4 linked regions of the Drosophila melanogaster genome follow. The protein of the gene in region 1 purifies or fractionates together with the protein of each later gene. This does not show direct contact. Each region holds a gene or a part of one and is shown in the gene's direction. Other genes may lie near its edges.

Evidence for each region.
Region 2: the proteins of TrpRS (region 1) and spidey purify together in Drosophila melanogaster (affinity purification with mass spectrometry, with the first as the bait; one large-scale study listed by BioGRID). This does not show direct contact.
Region 3: the proteins of TrpRS (region 1) and ScsbetaG purify together in Drosophila melanogaster (affinity purification with mass spectrometry, with the first as the bait; one large-scale study listed by BioGRID). This does not show direct contact.
Region 4: the proteins of TrpRS (region 1) and Kr-h2 purify together in Drosophila melanogaster (affinity purification with mass spectrometry, with the first as the bait; one large-scale study listed by BioGRID). This does not show direct contact.

What each region holds. Positions count from the first base shown.
Region 1 is NT_033777.3:9,264,472-9,268,709, reverse strand, and holds TrpRS (Tryptophanyl-tRNA synthetase), read left to right. Parts: upstream 1-1,805; 5' UTR 1,806-1,918; coding exon 1,919-2,114; intron 2,115-2,180; coding exon 2,181-2,592; intron 2,593-2,650; coding exon 2,651-3,230; intron 3,231-3,301; coding exon 3,302-3,406; 3' UTR 3,407-3,683; downstream 3,684-4,238. Other genes in the region: Vps16A (vacuolar protein sorting 16A), read right to left, coding at 26-153, 212-900, 951-1,221, 1,274-1,463, 1,533-1,588.
Region 2 is NC_004354.4:7,907,188-7,912,391, forward strand, and holds spidey (spidey), read left to right. Parts: upstream 1-1,743; 5' UTR 1,744-2,184; coding exon 2,185-2,350; intron 2,351-2,690; coding exon 2,691-2,737; intron 2,738-3,521; coding exon 3,522-3,597; intron 3,598-3,665; coding exon 3,666-4,006; intron 4,007-4,064; coding exon 4,065-4,400; 3' UTR 4,401-4,698; downstream 4,699-5,204. Other genes in the region: dpr14 (defective proboscis extension response 14), read right to left, coding at 70-151.
Region 3 is NT_037436.4:5,561,191-5,565,691, reverse strand, and holds ScsbetaG (Succinyl-coenzyme A synthetase beta subunit, GDP-forming), read left to right. Parts: upstream 1-2,000; 5' UTR 2,001-2,148; coding exon 2,149-2,199; intron 2,200-2,296; coding exon 2,297-2,426; intron 2,427-2,507; coding exon 2,508-2,607; intron 2,608-2,820; coding exon 2,821-3,790; 3' UTR 3,791-3,991; downstream 3,992-4,501. Other genes in the region: bc10, read right to left, coding at 1-67; Sras (severas), read right to left, coding at 864-1,366, 1,426-1,831; sinu (sinuous), read left to right, coding at 4,197-4,501.
Region 4 is NT_033779.5:6,069,279-6,074,495, forward strand, and holds Kr-h2 (kruppel homolog 2), read left to right. Parts: upstream 1-1,711; 5' UTR 1,712-1,909; intron 1,910-2,934; exon of another isoform or gene 2,935-3,135; 5' UTR 3,136-3,177; coding exon 3,178-3,398; intron 3,399-3,455; coding exon 3,456-3,705; intron 3,706-3,761; coding exon 3,762-3,895; intron 3,896-3,958; coding exon 3,959-4,184; 3' UTR 4,185-4,683; downstream 4,684-5,217. Other genes in the region: Pfdn1 (prefoldin 1), read left to right, coding at 69-211, 281-488; CG9154 (uncharacterized protein), read right to left, coding at 530-900, 955-1,114, 1,171-1,311. UniProt on the Drosophila melanogaster protein: Member of the dosage-dependent hierarchy effective upon white gene expression.

The sequences.
Region 1 (4,238 bases):
TAATAAAAGTTAAAAAGATGATTACTGTTTGAAGGTGATGGGCATGGCAATTCGCTCATGCCGCAAGGTGTTAAGAACCCTCAGTATTCGCATAATACGCATATATTCATCTGGATTGTGGTTACGAATAAAGCCTTTTCCAAAATAGGCCGTCTAAAAAGAAATCGAGTGGTTATAATTTATAAATATAAGAAGTCCATGACTATCTTACCCTAAGCAAGCTCTTTTGAGTTTCCGGACAAAACTCATATGAAGCCGCCTCAATACATTCGGACACTGCCAGATCGATCTTTTCCCGACACATGCTGAGATACTCATCCGACTTGTAGGACTTCTCCTCAAACTTTTTCTGTGCCTCAAAGAGATAGCTAGCCGGTTCCTGGCTATTCACTGCAAATATGTTCTCAACGCATTTTGGCAGGCGCTGTATTATTTCATGCGAACTCTGAGTAATAATGCGAACGCCATCCATTTCAGCCACAAGAAACATCACCGGATCGTAGGGAAAGTCACTGCGATCAGCGTTACGATTTACAATTAAGAGGTACGATGGATATGAAATGACCACCGCATCCGCCTCGCTGTTGTCAGAGTTCATGATCCACTCCATTTGGAGGGGCATATCTTTACGTCCGGTGTCGAATTCACAATACTTTTGCCGCATATCTACGCTGCCCAGCCAAAGAAGACCGGTGTTGGTGTACAGTGCCAAGTGCTGATGGTTGTACGACACAGATATCTTTATGATTCGCTCGTGCGGTTTCTCAAAGAGATTGGCGGTAATAGTTCCCACAGTTTCGCCTGGAAACAGCTTTATGACCTCTCGATCCCTTCCCAGCAGACAGTAGCTGTTGCGTCCCTCGGTTACGATCTCCCAGCAGGAACAGTTCATGCTGGAATCTGTTGAGCAATGACATAATATTCTTTTGGTATTTCAATGGTTTTCTTACTGGGAATATCCGGCAGCTTTCTTTCAGTCTTGCTGCTGTTCTGCTTGAGGAAAACCCGACCGGATGTGGTCATTACAGCCACTCCTGTGCCAGCTGAGGACTGGAACACCTTGCCCTCCACAATCTTTGTGACACTGGCCTCATCGCCGATGCTGTAGGACTCCTTTTCCCGACCAAACATGTCGTAGACAAAGACGGTGGCGTTCTCCTGGATGCAGATAAGCTCCTCCATGTCTGACCAGCCCATGGCAATAAGTTTGCCATGGTTCCACTACGGTGATTTCAATATTTGAGATAATATTTCTTACTTTCGATTAACTCACCAATATGTGACCCATTTCCCTGCCGGTGGTATCAAAGATGCGAATCATGGGTCTAGCGTTACCCTTTACCGGCACCAATTTGGTCGGATCACGAGTGACCGCCAGTGGTCCTCCATAGGGAGCCACTTCCACCCACATATACTCCAAGTCCAGGTCCAGAGGCCAATCAGGCGTAGCCAGTTCCACTTTTCTGTGAATGGGATTAATGGGCGTATCCTTCAGTTGGTTTGTATAGAACGGATGGATTAGGATTACCCACCTGTAGTAGTCCGGTCGCACCTTGAACCACTCCCCCGTGTTGTACATGATAGGCATGTTGTCTGAGTTATTAGTTCCTTATTTTAATCGAAAAACATTAGTCTTATCCGCTTGCATTTTTCACCCACAGTTTGCAGCGCAACAGCTGATTTTCCAGAGTTGTCACTCAATAGCAAATTTGCAATCCATCGATATTTCTCATTATCGATATTTTTAACAGTTGAAATTGAGCATAACAATTACCATTAACAGGAGAGCAGATGAAATAATCGATGGTGTAATCGATGGTTGGGACACTAATAAGCGCCTCATTTCACATGTGAAGGGCCCAATTACACTGGCCAGTATTAAATTATCTGTTAAATTCTTAACAATCAGACTGACAGAATGGCGGACACCAAGGAGACGGTTGTGGAGGGCGTGGAGGCGTTGACACTAAATGGAAAACCGGACGCAGAACCCGTGGAAACGGGCACGGATGCCCAGGCACAGGAGGGAGCCACTGCACCCACTGAAGATGTTGTGGATCCATGGAATGTGGCCAGTAGTAATGACGCGGGCGTCGACTATGATAAGCTGATAAGTAAGAAGACATTTGCAAGGCAAATTATTAATCAAGTTAATCAAACGACATGTTGACACGTTGCAGAACGGTTTGGCTCCAGCAAAATCGATGAGGAGCTTATCGCGCGTTTCGAGAAAATCACGGGAAAGCCCGCCCACCACTTCATCCGAAGGGGCATGTTCTTCTCGCACCGGGATCTTCATACGATTCTAACACTGCGCGAACAGGGCAAACCCTTCTATTTGTACACTGGTCGCGGTCCCAGTTCCGGATCCCTGCACGTGGGCCACCTGGTGCCCTTCATCATGACCAAGTGGCTGCAGGAGACCTTTGATGTGCCGCTGGTTATTCAATTGACCGACGACGAGAAGACCTTGTGGAAGGATCTGAAAGTGGAGGATGCCATCAAGCTTGGACGTGAAAACGCCAAGGATATTGTGGCCATTGGATTCGATGTCAACAAGACGTTCATTTTTAATAACCTGGAATTCGTGGGGTAAGTAAATTAAAAAACTTTTAACCTGTATAATCTGTATTATCTATATTACTTACAGAAAATGTCCTGCCATGTATCAGAACATCATTCGCATCCAGAAGTGCGTTACCTTCAATCAGGTCAAGGGCATCTTTGGCTTCGGGGACTCAGACATCATTGGCAAGATTGGTTTCCCAGCCGCTCAAGCAGCTCCCGCGATTTCCAGCACCTTCCCCTTCATCTTCGGCAACAGGAAGGTGCACTGCCTCATCCCGTGCGCCATCGATCAGGACCCATATTTCCGCATGACTCGCGATGTGGCTCCACGTCTTGGTTTTCCCAAATGCGCGCTCATCCATTCGACCTTCTTCCCGGCGCTGCAGGGTGCCAAGACGAAGATGTCGGCTAGCGACCAGAACTCGGCTGTTTATCTGACGGACACGCCCAAGCAGATTAAGAACAAGATCAACAAGTACGCCTTCTCCGGAGGACGCGTATCTGTGGAGGAGCACCGCAAGCTGGGCGGAGTTCCGGAAGTTGATGTCTCCTATCAGCTGTTGAAGTTCTTCCTGGAGGACGATGCCAAGTTGGAGGAGGTGAGAGTGGCTTACAGCAAAGGCGAAATGCTTACGGGCGAGATCAAGAAGCTGGCAGTTGAGGTAAGTGCAATGATGATGCTACAATCTTCCCAAAAAACATTGTAATTAATGTGCTCAAATGATCTTCTTAGACGCTCACACCCATTGTGGAACAGCATCAGGCCGCCCGCAAGCTGATTACGGACGAAGTGCTGGACAAGTACTTCGAACTACGACCCCTGAAGTTCGGAAGTTAGAACGGTAGCCGAATTGAGGTACCTGCATTTGCTTGACATCGATTCTTACTACCAGTTTATATGAAATTAGCTTAAATCGAACTAAGCGATATTAGTTTAGCACCGAACCGACTAAGGCACTTCTATGTAAATAGCTATACAGAATTGATCTATGCCTTGGCTCTGAGTCCGTGTGGCGCCCACTTAATGCATCGTTGTACTCGCTATTTATTTTATTTTTTACACAGCGTGTTTATTTTTATAAAGCAGAAAACAATAAACTTCGGCTTCGATTTGCAATTGCCACCACAGTGACCCACATTTGGGAAGTTGTTAGCAAGTCTATACATTTTCCTGGAAACCCGAAACGTTCAGCCAAGGAGAGAAACAAGTCAACTCTCTAGGTTTCCCTAGAAACTACACTCTGCTCATATTCATTTCCGATTCCGGGCAAAGGTGCCTCTCTGGTTAGCCAGCTAGCAAAATAACTCTCGACTTCGGAAAAATGTAAGTAATTTTCTCACTTCTAGTTGTGTGTTGTTTTTTTTTTCTGGTAACCCGAGATCTTGCACATGAATTGAATTTCGCGGGCTATCAGTAGATATTCTTCTAGTTTTTTCCTTGCGGTTTATAGTTTCAGGAATTCTGAATTTTCGGAAGAAAAAAATAATTTGCTAGTTAATTACTATTAATTAAAGAAGATATGTAGTAATAATGGAAACTGTGCTCAATATCTCAGTCTTTTAAGCAAGTATCTATTTCAATTAAGAAAAATCATAAAAATAGGTATAGAATATGTAATATAATTTTTAATAGGATTATAAGAGCACTTAGCTGGCGATCACGGTTTTTC
Region 2 (5,204 bases), on another chromosome or scaffold:
CTTAAAAGTGCCAAAGTTTGAGTTGGGTAAAAGTTTGCAATGTGATTAAGGCATGAGGTGGAGACTCACATGTGGTCGACGTGGAACCCGAGCCGATGTGATGGAGTGAGGAGTATATAATCGCCAGTATCCAAAACAGCCTCGATCTCATCACTGCAGCGGAGTGTCTTCATATGCCGACTTACGGGATACGGTAACAGGATGCGGGATGATGCATCGACTGGCGCCACTCGCCGCAGGATATGCACATATGAACGAACGCCCCTCTAAACTGTTCTATATCGATCCAAGTCCAACTGCATCAGCGTCCCACTGCATCGCCAGCGATGATTCCACGGACTTCACTTCGCTTCGCTTATCGATTGCCCTGCGGCAAAATATTGCTGGACATATTGCACTCAAGTATCTTCTTTTTCAGAGTGTCCTTTTCGATTATATATGTATATTTACTTTTTCTTTTTCTCTTTTTTGTTGATTTCTTTGCACACTTTTCAGCGCGCGGATGGAGGCTGGAGGGATAGGAATGTCGGACAATTGGAAAATCGGAAAAGCGCTTATTAACCAGCTCGTGTTGCGTGTGTATTTATCCTTTTGCAACTGCTGCTCGGATGGCCAATAAACGGGAATGTAGGTCAGGGCATGCTCTGCGCATGGCCAGCATCCGCATCCCTATTATTTCATCCGAAGGAATCCCTCTACCCGAGCAACAACAACAAATAGCAGACGCCACTCACCTCTCAAGCTCAAAATAATGCAATCTTCAAGATTGTTTTAAAAAGAAAAAGACTTTTCTTTTCTTCTTTTGTTTGCATTTGTCCAGGAAAAAAGCTCTTTTCGGCGGATGGTTCTGATAAATATTTAACAATATAAAAGTTGCTTTTGCCGGTCCTTCGGCGTTGTTGTTCCCTCACCCACACTTGCTTCGGCACTGAATCCGCTCCGAAAGGCCAGCATCTCTCTCGGCATTCTTGCAATCCAGGGATTTCTACCCACCAAACAAGGTCCTTTGAATCCGTATAGCTCGGCATGCAAATAAATCGGGCGATTGAGCTCAGAAATACCTGTATTTTACTAATTGTTAAGAGCCTAGAGTAAAAATACAGATAAACTACCATTCTTTTACTGTCAAATTAAGCTTCAAATTCGAAATTCGATAAGTAACCGATATTTATCGATAGGCAAAGGATTACCCTCGCACATACGCGATCCGCTATAGCCATCTCGCTCCATCAATAATTTACCGTTAATATAGCGGGCTTTACTCAGAAACATCAAAAATATTTAACGACTTTAATTGTAGCATTCGCTGCGTTAAATTGTTTATCGCACTTTCTGCTTCCTGCGCATGTGCAGGAAATTAGTCAGACTATTTCGGTGATTGCCCCATTCTGGCGTGTATTGGTGAGAGCATAGAACTTACACTGCCCTCCTATGATATACATATGCATGCTTTTTTCGCTTTTAAATAAACTAATTAATAGACTAGTAAAAGAAGGATATACGGTAATGAACCTGTGAACCCTTAGGCGGAAAACTATTGCTGAATTTACATTTCATCCCTCTTTTAAAATCAGCTAGTGCAACATAACGGTTCTTGGTGTGATAAATTTTTGCGCTCACTGTTTGCAGCCGCCCTTATCTTTCGCTTTTTGGTGGTGTGCGTGAGCGCTATGAAATGACATAAGTGGGCACACAACACAGACACACACCCCTCTGAGGGGGGCACATGGATACGAAAAAGAACCGTTCATTTGCTTTTGTGCCGTTGACAATTGACATTCAATCGCTTTTTCCATTTGTTTTTATTTTCCCCCTTCTACCCTAAGTTTCTCCTTTCAAAGAAAACGCATTTGGAATACAAATCAGGCAAAAAACACGCGTACATAAATCGAGTAATCGAAAATCAGTGGCGATTTCGAAGGGTGTGTGTGTGTGTAGAATTACTACAACACACCACAAATACAGTTCGAAAAGGCAGCGCAGTCGGCAGAGGCGAAAAAAAAGCAGCGGCGTCAGCATTTCCATTTCGGCATTGCAGCTCGAAAATCGTAGAATCAGAAACTAATCAGCCGGCAGAGGCTATAGCAGTCGACCGATCGCAATCGCACCATATAGTACATACAATAGGTACCATTGCCTAGGAGTACCAGGAACCAGGAACCACTAATCTCCATCATCAACATCATGGAGGAGAACAACTCGCAAGTGCTGAGCCTGCTGGGCGGTCTGGCCATCGGAATCGTGGGCTTCCAGGTCTTCCGGAAGGTCCTGCCCTGGATTTACGCCAATGTTGTTGGCCCCAAGGTCTTTGGCTCCTCGGTGGATCTCTCCAAAATGGGCGAGTGGGCAGGTGAGTCGGTTGCCATGGAAAAACATGCCGGAAAGGAGCGGAAACGGGGTCGATTCCGAGTGCACAGTGAAAAAATGAATAGCAAGTTTGCTAAAGAAGTGTAGTTAAAAAGATTAAAGACCCTTTTACAATTAAATTGTGAAGAAAGGGAATTTCCAAATTGCAAACACTCTACTTTCAAGTTTTCCAATTTTGCATTAACTGCCTAAAGGAATACACTATATATCTTTCCAAAATGGAGTTCAGTACTTTTTTCACTGTGACCGATAAGATCGTTCCCCACGCCCCATAAATCCACTGATAACCCACAGAACTATTGGCTAACTTTTTCGACTTTCAGTTGTCACCGGGTCGACCGATGGAATTGGCAAGGCCTACGCCAAGGAGGTATGTACACAAAGATGACATGGAAGGGCTGCCCCAATCTTGACCAGCGCAAGCAAAGTCCGTCCAAGCTCGACCGATGATTATAGTAAAATGGGAAACGGGTCAAGCAAACAAACAAACAAAAAACGATAGTAATAATGAGCAATTAGTAATTACTAATTACCGAATTGAGTGTCGCCCACGATGACTTGGACATTGGTTTAGCGGTCGCCAATGCATTAGCCAAGTGAATCTGCACTTTGAAATCGATCTTCAGTCAACAGTCCAGTCGCAAACAGTCCCTAATAGTGTTTGCTTGACTGCAAATCGCTACATTTGTACTTTTCGTTATTTATTTTTACAAAGTGCAATCGCAGTTGATTTTTCTACCTTTTGTGGTAATTTTTTTTTTTTTTTGCCAGTTTTATTTTGTAATACACAGACTTGGAGCAAACGAAGCTAGAAGCTATAGGGAACACGTGTCCCCTGAATGGCAATTACTTTATAGAGTGGAGCACAGGGCCCCGATCGAAGCTTGTGCCAAATTAGCATTCGGCGTGCGTCGAACGCACAGAAAATGGTTCAATGTTCACACCCAATTTCTATTCATATACACGCTTAGTACACTTAAATGACTTCCTGTTCTTAAAATCTACGGGTTACTCGTCTTTGAAACTCCTGCTTTAGGTAGAAACGTTCAGTGTTCCCATTCCAAAGCACCATTGCTTTTTATCTCTGACCTAAGAATTTACTATCCAAAAGTACGTAAATATGAGCAGGCTAATAAATATTTAATCACTTTCAGTTGGCTCGCAGGGGCTTGAAACTGGTGCTGATTAGTAGATCCCTGGAGAAACTGAATGTGGTGGCCAAGGAGATAGGTAAGTCTGCTCACTAAAATACAGTTAACAACTTCAACTAACAACTGCTCTTTGCGGTCTACTTTCAGGCGATAAATACGGTGTGGAGGTGCGTGTGATCGATGTGGACTTCACCGGCGGTGACGAGATCTACGATAAGATCCGCGAAAAGACCACTGGCCTCAATGTCGGAGTGCTGGTCAACAACGTGGGCATCAGCTACGGCCATCCCGAGTACTTTCTGGACTGCTACAAAGCCGATCCCCCATTCCTGCGCAACATTGTGGCTGCCAATATCCACTCGGTGACGCACATGACCGCACTTTTTCTACCCGGCATGATTAGCCAGCGACGTGGTGTGATCATAAATGTATCGTCCACCGCCGGAGTCATTCCTAATCCGCTGCTGAGCGTGTACAGTTCCACCAAGGTGAGTGGATATCATCAGAAGTGATAGAAGGCTAATTACTAATACCTATAATTTGCAGGCCTTTGTGAACAAATTCAGTGATGACCTGCAGACGGAGTACAAGGAGCACGGCATCCTCATCCAGAGCGTCCAGCCGGGCTTTGTGGCCACAAATATGTCTAAGATCCGAAAGGCTAGCGTGTTTGCTCCCTCGCCGGAAACGTATGTCCGCTCGGCGCTGTCCACCCTGGGCATTGCCACCCAGACGGCGGGCTATCTGCCGCATGCTCTACTCCAGCTGGTCATCCACTTCACGGAGGCGGTGTTCGGCGAACAGTTCGCACGCAACATCGTTATGAAGAACATCCTGGGCACCCGGAAACGTGCCCTGCGCCGCCTGGCCAAGGAACAGTAGATTATTGAGGATGAATACGGCGGAGGAGGCATTTAATGGGAATCGGTTGGGATGATGAGTGGGTCAGTTGGGTTGTGGGGAAAATCCGGCTAGTCAAATAGCTTACGTAATTACCGCGTGTCATACGAATCCACAAACAGATAGCTTGAAATACCAAAAAAAAAAACATTTTTCCGAAATAAACTAAGTTTAGTTAGTTTTTGTCATTAATTAGCATTGAAGATTCGCAAACAGCCATGTCATGTAAACAATAAAAAATGTGTTACTAGATATATGTATATATCTAGTTTCCAATGATAAATAACGCCTTTTATTTGCAGTCCTTTATTTTGTATTTAACTTCTTATTTGTTCTTGCTAGCGATTTTTCTTTTTCCCTATGATTTTTCATGTTTTTCGGATCCAATTTGAATTTGAATTGGATGTGTCGATAACGGCAATAGCTATCGATTGGTCATCGATAGGCGCGCCCTTCGGCTAATCGGCGAGATGGGAATGACAGAAAGAGATACAACACTTCGCGCAGGGCGAAGAAGCAAAGCAAAGGGCAAAATTCATAAACATAACAGTAAAGATAGTGTATAGCCGGGCGTGAAATGTAATGAATCGGATTCATGACGTGACGTGTTATCAGGGCCAGCCCAATCCCAACTGCGCAGCAGCAGCGACAGCAACAACAATAACAACAACACATCAAGCTGAATCGAAGGAGCGTGTAATCAGTAATCAGAGTCGCTTGTTTTGATTTCCTTTCCTCGGAAACGAATCAACACGAAACGAGACGAGACGATTCGAAACGAAATGA
Region 3 (4,501 bases), on another chromosome or scaffold:
CCATCAGGGCCGGATTCGAGGGTTTCGGTATCAGTAGTACGGGCAGCAGGCATTGTAGGCAATACATTCTGTGTGCGGTTGGGTGGGTGGTTGTGTTGTTGTTGCTATTTCTGCTTAAGATTTGGGTTCTATTTGCGTGTGCGTTGACGTGGTCTTCCGCGCGGCCTGCAAGTGTCCCAGGATGACCCCGGGGGGTTGAGGTTAGTCTTAATTGTTCTATAATTACTATCATTCGTAGTCCTGGGCAAAGACCACAAACGTCACCAGAACGCGGATCTGTTTTCCCAGTTCTAGCACGGGTCGCCGCTCTGCGGGATTACCTCCGATTGGGCCTCCTGGCGCTGACCTCTCGATTTTCGGGTCGTTTAGATGCTCGCTTGTTGTGCGTCGTTTTAAATCATCACATATTTACCAAAATTTACTTGTCTGGGCCTATCGGGCCCTATCGATAAGCCTATGTGGGTCTGAGTGGCAGTGTGACCAGCTGCCCAATACCGATATGTTGGAACTAGTGATTGCGCGGAACCAATAATACCGCCTAAATTTGAATTCATATTTCTTTCTTAATAATAATAATAAATAATATTTATAAATGTTAAGAAATTGTTTAATAAACAAATGCAAACAAAAGTAGTTGTAATAAAAGTACTCTCGAACAACAAAACAGTACAACTGACTTACTATTAGGTATACATTTATCTGTACTTTCTTTTTTCTTTTTCATCGGAAGTCTTTTTTTTGTGCGCGGAATTGGCTCGAATGGGATATGCAATTTACATATAAACATAATATATGCACGAATATTTATGTACACATGAATGAACCGACGTATGGCAGCGGTTGATACATACAAATTAACTTAATTATGCATTCCAGTAAAGGGTGTTATCATAGATCGACGGATCGGTAGCCAGTGGTACCAGGAACATCCATCCAACAAATCCAGCTAAGTAGAGAATAATGGCCACTACTCGTCGCCAGAGATCCTGCTGCCACAGATCCTGCAGATCCGGCAGACCCATATGATTGCAAAACGCGTGCACCAAGATGGGAGCCATCACATGACCTGTACGGGCAAATAGAAAGGCCGAATAGAAGCCAAATAGCGTGGTGTAGATGAACTGGAACAGTCCAATCAATAGGGCAGTGCTCAACTCCACGCCTAAGCTCAGGCGTTCGGCTATGTGATGCAAGTGGGCTACTCCGAAGAAAAGCGGCGTTATGAAAACGGCGACCAGGGGCGAAAAGCTCTGCAGGATCAGGGGCATCATGCAGGCTCGGAACACGAACTCCTCGCTCAGCGGTGCTATCACATGGTTGCGCACCCAGATGATGCTGCCAAATGATCCCCTCCAGTAGTCCAGATCTGCAATTCAAATCAAGCAGTGAGAAGGGGCTGATAGGCAGAGGGGCTTTAACTATTACCGAAGTAGGAGCGCACGGACTCGTTCTGCATGTTGACAAAGATGGGTCCCAGGAAGAGCAGCACCGTCAGGCTGTATGGTATAACAACAGCCTGCCACAATCCCTCCAAGCGCAAACCGAGCAGCTTGGGAAATGGTACCCGGCTGAGCAGCTCCGGCGATGAGAAGAAGTAAACGAAGAACGGGGCTGCCAGCATCACCATGGACACACTGGCGAATCTTCTCTTGACCGTGGTTGGATGATCCCGGTTGTGTTTGGTGCTCCAGATGTAGAGGCTACCCACGTACAGAACAGCCAGAACGAAGCAACAGCTCACCGAAGTGGCCACCGGGATCTGGGGCAATGATTCGTGGACTACATTTTCTTGCATGGTGACTTCGGCTTCCGTCTCACTCAGGTTTTTCATTCAATTTGTGTTATTCGTCATTCTTCGCTGACTATTAGCCGAAGAAAAAAAGTACACAACGACAGCTGATTTTCAGCTGACTGCAACAGTAAGACCATTGCTTCGCGAGAACTAGTTCAAGATGGCAGTGGCATTTGGTATATTTTTATCACCATGGAAAGTAGTCGTGCTTCTTGGTCACATTGTGCAGTGATAAGCATCGTGGAACGGCGGCGATTTTCGGTTGTGTTTTTAAACTAAATTTACCGACAAAGTTACGAAAATAAATTAATACCAAGTTAGCCAAGGTATTCAGTTACCACCGCAGATCAGCCAAGATGTCGTTCCTACTGAAAGCAGTTACCACAGCCCGTCACATCGTTCATAAGGTTTCCTCGCACTCACATTCCTCTATAATATATCAACTCTTCGAAAAGAGAAGTTGAAGTGACCTTTGTCTTGGCTTTGTTTATCTTTCGATGATAGGTTCCCGTGCGCAACCTGAATCTGCTGGAGTTCCAGAGCAAGGATCTCCTCCAGAAGTATGGAGTGGCCATACAGCAATTCAAGGTCTTGAATAACTCCAAGGCAGATGCCGAGGTCGTCAAGACTTTTGGTAAGTGGAGGACGGAACCATGCCGGTGTTTATGTAATCCCTGGGCTAATTGGTGTTAAATGCTGTGCTTCTGTGTTTCAGAGTGCCCGGAATACGTGGTGAAGGCGCAGATTCTCGCCGGTGGGCGTGGCAAGGGAACTTTCGACAACGGATTCAAAGGCGGCGTCCATATCACCACCAAGTATTATAGATTAGGTCTATTCCGGCTATTCACATTCACATTTTATCTAAAAAATTAATATTATTTATGTTCTACAATATCATTTGTATATAAGATTAATCTTATCATTCTGCCCATATTGAAAATGATAAAAGTTTGTGAAAGCCAGAGTGTACCTTAAAAACACAAGTGATAAGACCAGCTTATACTAATAATTATTTAACATTTTGCCAGCAAGAGCGAGGTGCTTTCGCTTACCCAGCAGATGATTGGAAACCGACTGATAACGAAACAAACGCCCAAATCGGGAATTTTGGTCAACAAGGTCATGGTGGCACGCAGTATCAACATCACCCGCGAGACCTATCTCTGCATCTTGCTGGACCGCGAGCACAATGGACCCGTGCTGATTGCCTCACCTGCCGGTGGCATGGATATCGAGGCGGTGGCCGAGGAAACCCCTGAGAAAATTAAGACTGTTCCGCTAGACATTGGCAAGCCCATACCGGAGTCGACGCTCTTGGAGGTGGCCAAGTTCTTGGAGTTCAAGGGAGACTCTGTAAAGCGTTGTGCTGAGGAAATTCAAAAACTCTATACTCTCTTCAAAGCTGTGGATGCCGTACAGATCGAGATCAACCCGCTGGCGGAGACGGATAAGGGAGAAGTTATCTCCGTTGATGCTAAGCTCAACTTTGACGACAATGCCCAGTTCCGTCAGAAGGATATTTTCTCCATGGACGTCACCGAGGAGGAATCCGATCCCCGAGAAGTGGAGGCGGCCAAGTACAATCTGAACTACGTCGCCATGGATGGCAACATTGGCTGCTTGGTTAATGGTGCCGGCCTGGCCATGGCCACCATGGACATCATCAAGCTGAATGGAGGCGAGCCCGCCAACTTTTTGGACGTCGGCGGTGGCGTCAGGGAGGATCAGGTGGCCAAAGCCTTCGAGATCCTCACTGCTGACCCGAAAGTCAAGGGAATCCTGGTCAATGTCTTTGGCGGCATTGTCAATTGTGCCACCATTGCCAATGGCATTGTGGCTGCATCCAAAAAGCTGCAACTGAATGTTCCACTGGTTGTGCGACTGGAGGGCACCAATGTAAATCAGGCTCGCGAGATCCTGAAGAATTCGGGCCTGCCCATTCAGACAGCCAGTGACTTGGATGATGCCGCCCACAAGGCTGTGGCAGCCCTTAATTAGGGGAACGATTGAGGAGAGCATGTCTTCCAGAATGAAACGACGCTCATTAGCATTTACAACGGTTGGGCCTTTTAAGTATAAGTTTTTATCGACAATATAACCAAAATATGTTATATTCTATATAAAAAGCTTTTTATTTGATTTAAGAAGTACCTTAGCCATCTATCAAAAATTAATTAAATTTAAAATCATTTATTTCTTAATTTAAAAAATGTATAATCTAAATTGTTTAATTTACTGTTTTGAAATTTATTGGTACCGTAGCATTTGGTATTTATTTTGTGGCCCCATGGTATTCTGCGGTATTACCAGTGCGGCCACACTGCAGTCCACACCCAAACAGCAAACCAAACAAACATTTCCCCAGGAAACCAGCGAAATTCCAATAGAATTTCCCACTCAAAGGATGCAAAAACCATCCCACTTCGCACGCGAGGATTCCCAGGAGCACCTGCCCACCAGCCACACGCAAAACAGTCACACAGTGAACATGAAGAGACGCACACTATCCGGAAGTTGTGGCGTTGGCGTCTTCGTGTTCGCCTTTGCCTTCATCGTGATTGCGTTTGCAACGCCCAGTTGGTTGGTCAGTGATTACCGCATCACGGGCGCCAAGCTGGATCGCCTGGGATTGTGGGTGCACTGCTTCCGGTCGCTGCCGGACGTGAACGACGATAGCCAGCGGAGATTCTTCGTGGGCTGCCGTTGGGT
Region 4 (5,217 bases), on another chromosome or scaffold:
CCGACTGCCGACGGAGAGCGCGTGCTCTTCCAAAGAACTTAGTCATAGACGATTCCTTTTGCACGCAGGCCTTCACCGAGATGCAGATCAATAAGCTGGAGACGACCAAGAAGATCCACATGATCGACATGAAGTGCGACATGGTCAAGACAGGCAAACAAAAGTACCAGCTGACAGAAAAGGGCACCAGCAGCTTGGCCGACGACACAAGGTACATAACTAGAATCACAATTAATCATCTCCAGGTGTTCAGGTGGCTAATTGAACTGTTTCCCTATAGAGTTTACCAGTCCGTGGGTCGCATGTTCCTGCTTACCGATGTACAGAATATGCGCGAGGACCTGAAGGCTAGGCAGGAGAAATGCGACAAAGCGATAGAACTGCTGGAGAAGAAGAAGGAGTTCTTGCAGAAGTCCCTTAAGAGCCAGGAAGACGGTCTGCGCGAGTTGGTGCAGCAGCGCAAGGAAGCCGATCAGACTGCGAAATAGACTACAACTCCAAACTGGCATTTATCCCTCAACGCAATTGCTTATTTATTTTCAATATACTCGTCTAAATTGAAGTTGGCGTAGCTGACAAACTTGTTGCCCAGATTGCGTTCGTGTTCCGGGCGGAAGCTGCACTTGAGGACGGGCAGGCGAGCGGTTAGCCAGGGCTCCACCACCTCACCGGAGCACAGGATTACCTTGCTCTCCTTCTGGTTTCGTTGCAGCCTAGTGATTATTTCACACGTTTTGGCGATGCACTCCTGGGACAGGAAGGGCGGGTCGGCCACGATGAGGTCATATTGCTGGTGGTGCTCTTTGAGGTAGTCCGGGTTGCTCCCTACGCAGTTCAAGTCGTAGTGCACAAAATCTGTGCCATAGGCCTCGAAACGCTTGTCGAACTCGAATATGTGCACTACAAGATAGAATGATGACAATTCATTCATAATCGTTTCACATGTCCACTTACCTGTGTCATGTATCTCCCTGATGTCCTTGTAGAGCGATGGGCAGGAGAGCAGTGCTATACTAAAGTCACCCGAATCCTCCGTGCGCTCCGCCAGAAGCTTACGCACAACATCACGCAATGCGTGCTTGGTTTCCGTGCTGTACCAGAACTGACTCAATTGCTGCAAGCGAAGAGAGTTTCACCATAAGTTTCTAAGGTATGTGCAGGTGCTCTTGCCCAATCCTCCTCGAACTGGGCATCCTTGCCGGTCTTGTTGGCGATTTGATTCTCCTCCTCGGCTTCGCGTTTTGATCTCTCCAACAGAAATTCGTTTAAAATGGCCAAAGTGTCGGCGGGCAGCGAGATGTCGTCGTCCATAATTAATTATTTGCCACTAAATGAATCTTAGAGCATTCAAATCAAAATAAACCAAAATGTGCGTTTGAAGATTAGAGGTGCGAAATTAGCGATACAAATGAGAACTTATTGGGGGGATTCCAGGCCTTGGCGCTGTTTTCAAATTGTAAATTATTAGAAACTTAGGCCAACTGCGATATTGAAATTATACTTTCAAAATAATATGCACTTTAACCGTATGCAAATCGATTACCAATTTTAATTTATTTTAAGTTATTTTATTAATACAACTAGCTCCAGAAACCTGTATCGTAACTTTTATTTGACAACACATTTTCAAACTGTACTGAATATTTAGGCGTTTAATCGACAACTAAAACAGCAACTTTCAAGTACGTGGTCTTTAAATTTCGTAAGATCGAGAAAGCAGTGCGATACAAATCGGTGGCAGCCCTGTGTCAGTTCGTTTTTATCGAACTAGATCAACTTTGCCCGTCCATCTCTAGTTCGCACGGGAGCCCCGACCAAACTGATACGTATTAATTTACGAGAAAAACTTGCGTTTAATTCGAAGTCACATCATATCGCAGGCTGGAACGTACCTGCTGCTAAGTAAGAGGTAAGTGAATGGCCAACGTGAATTAGGAAAAATCAGTGCCTTGCCGGAAACGAAATCCATGTGATTAAAGGCTAACTTTCTTCGCTTGACGTCGTTCCCAAATCGGATAAAAGTGTGCTGCTGGCCCAGTAATTACACTGGTGAATTATGCAGGTCGGCATTTGGACTCGCTCCGCGACTTCCGTGCGGGGGAGGAAGCATCCAATCCCCAAGCGCAACCGTTTCGAATTTCTACAGCGCGGCGCGAAGAGCCCTGCACTTTGATTTCGTTGCCGTTCATTGTGGAGTTCAGTCGGGTCAATCAGCCTCAATTTGCGAGACTTACCTTCTGAATCTCTGACGTGTACCTACCAACCAAACTGTCCACTATGTGACATCATATAATTGGGCTTCCGACTCCGGACTATTGCATGAATAATGTGCGCGCGGGTTGACAGGTGCTACCTTAAATTGACTAGGTGACCCACTTCCGTTGAAGGACCCTCCGTCCACAGATCCCAATCGATACGGCTGCCCCACTGCCAGTCTCATTACTCGACATGTAAATCGAAAGTACACGTAGGATGGACCCCCTCGGTTGGGTTTACTTAATCGCTCAGACCAGCCCACTCCCCCTCCCATGTTTCACCTGTTGCCACCTGTTTGTGTTTCAATATTTTGACGTGTATTTCGTAACAACATGCACATTGTGCGCTGTCTTGCAGTTTTCTCTTCGAGCTTCGTAACGAAATCTTTGCGTTTAGTGCGCTAGGCATCATAAACCGCATACTCGAGAAATATAATTGCCAAACCGTAAGAGTACATGATACTTTAGCGATGGCTTGGCTGTTTTCTTTTTTTGGTTGCCTCATGCAAAGCACTGTCCGTAATGGTGGGCAAGTCATCTTGGCTAAAGCGAACATTAACACGACTTTTGGGCCAGCCCGTTCTCGTTTTAAGTGCGTTTGCCAGCCACTTTCCATTTGACTGGTTTAACAGTTGGCCCTGACTTTCAATTAAGACGTAAAGCGCTTGGCACTGAGAAGCGTAGTGCAGTCTAATCCTGGAGTCATAGAGGGCAGATCTTGCGGGCTATTCATTAGGTTGGAACCCTCACACATCAGATAGCGCCGCAGTTACTTAGCCAAGGTTCTCTTATCGCTGCCTATGCCTAAGATAGCAGCCAAATTCCCGCCGATAAGGCCGAAAGTAGAAACCTTATACTGATTTTCATAACTGCCTTGCAGACTGAATACTGAACGGAAAGCGAGCACGAAAGCTACTTCATCATGAGCGCACCCACCGACCAACCACCGCGCTCCGAGGGCGCTCAGACCAACAGCTCCGAGAGATCCTCACAGCAGCAGGAGCAACCGCAGCAATCTCAATCACAGAACGTACCGGCCAAGCTCCTGCAGCATTTTCAGACAAATCGCATAGATTCCGCGCTATGGGCACTACGTCTGCTGGTCATCTTCTTCACCGTCAGCTACGTGCTGCCCATCTTTACGTGAGTACACGCGTTTTCCACATTGACCTACTCTAATTTTCACTTACTTCTCCACAGCTCACAACAGAGCGCATTCAGCAAGGTTATGCTGGCTAATGCCGCCATCTCTGCCTTGCGTTTGCACCAGAGATTGCCCGCGTTCGCGTTCAGTCGGGAGTTCCTTGCTCGACTGTTTGCCGAGGACTCGTGTCATTACATGATGTACTCCCTGATCTTCTTCAACATCCGCCCATCGCTGCTGGTTCTGATTCCCGTGCTGCTGTACTCAGTTCTGCACGCCTCAAGCTACTCGCTTAAGCTGCTGGATGTAAGGAAAGCAATATTTCACATTTGGCACTTGTCTAATAAGAAATGTACTTACAGCTGATTGGCCAGAACTCGTGGTGGGGTGCCCGTTTCATCATCTCCATTGTAGAGTTTCAGGCGGCGAATATCCTGAAGGCAACTGCATTCTGCGAGATCTTCATCATGCCTTACGCCATTGTGCTGGCCTTCATGTGAGTTTTAACACATATCTTTCGAGGGGAATGCACTCCAATGCAGAATACTTTCAATTTTAGGAACCACGCTGGATTGATGACGCCCGTTATTTACTACCACTATCTGGTGATGCGCTACAGCTCGCGACGAAATCCCTATCCGCGCAACGCTTTCGCTGAGCTGCGTATAACCTTCGAGGCGCTGGCCGCCCGCTCACCGCCCGCCTTTGCCAAGATCATCCGTGGAGGCATTGGGTTCGTCAACCGCTTGGCGCCGCAGCTACAGCCGGCTGCAGCGCAAGAGTAGACACGACAAGCAGCTAACGGAAAACAACAATCAAATGACATATGAATAAGGCTATTTAAATACCAGTTCACTTGCATAGATGTTCACACAGGAGATTGGGGTTCATCCGTTTTATTTGTTAGCCGAAATTCGTTGCACCTTTTCGAAGCGAAACTAGTTGTTTTACACCAGATTGTTTCGGCATTTAAGTTTAAATTTATCTATATATTATTGTAGTTTTTTTTGAGTACATCATCATGCTTTTTTCAACAACACACAATGTGGCAACGCACGAATTCCGCCATGGAGGATCAACGGCGCGTATTACTATATTTATATCCCAAAAACAAATTATTTCAATTTGTTTTGCTTTAACTTATATGTTCAAAATACTGATCAAACGAAAAACATGGACAGCTAACGCTGTTAGTAATTATTTACATATATTTTGTATGAGTGTGTAAAGATTCGAAGAACCAAACAAAGTAAAGTAAAGTTAAATAAAACATTTTGAGAAGGTACTAGAATTTGGACTACAATTTTTTCTGGTTGATTGGCTTTAAATCTTCTGCTACTGTATTAAGTGGTTTGCACTTAACTTGTTTCTTCTCAAGCCAATTAAAAAATGATATCAATCGTAATAATTTTCGTATCATCCTTAAAGTATGCAATACCTTAATTTCTCCACTTTTGGTCAGCGGGCTCAAACAGGTGAATGGAAGCGTTCCCCAACATACTCCAGATCAGGATCACTAGTCGATTTGGCCATGTTCCAGTCGGACACGAATAGTAGCAATCTAAGCACTTTTGTACAGCGCCGAAGCATCAACCCACAACGAAACTAATGAAATGATTTCTGGGTGTGAGGCTAGGGCGTTGGTAGCTTGTCGTTGGCTCTGGACTTCTTCCGAATTTCCACCAAGTTCAATGAACTTCTTGCGCAGCGCCAAAAAAAAAAAATGTTCGTCCAAATGAGGGTGAAGGCACCCGAGCTTTGTTGTGTTGTGTAGGTGAAACGACTCACTTTCGTTCTCAGTGCCGGGAAAACTTTGGG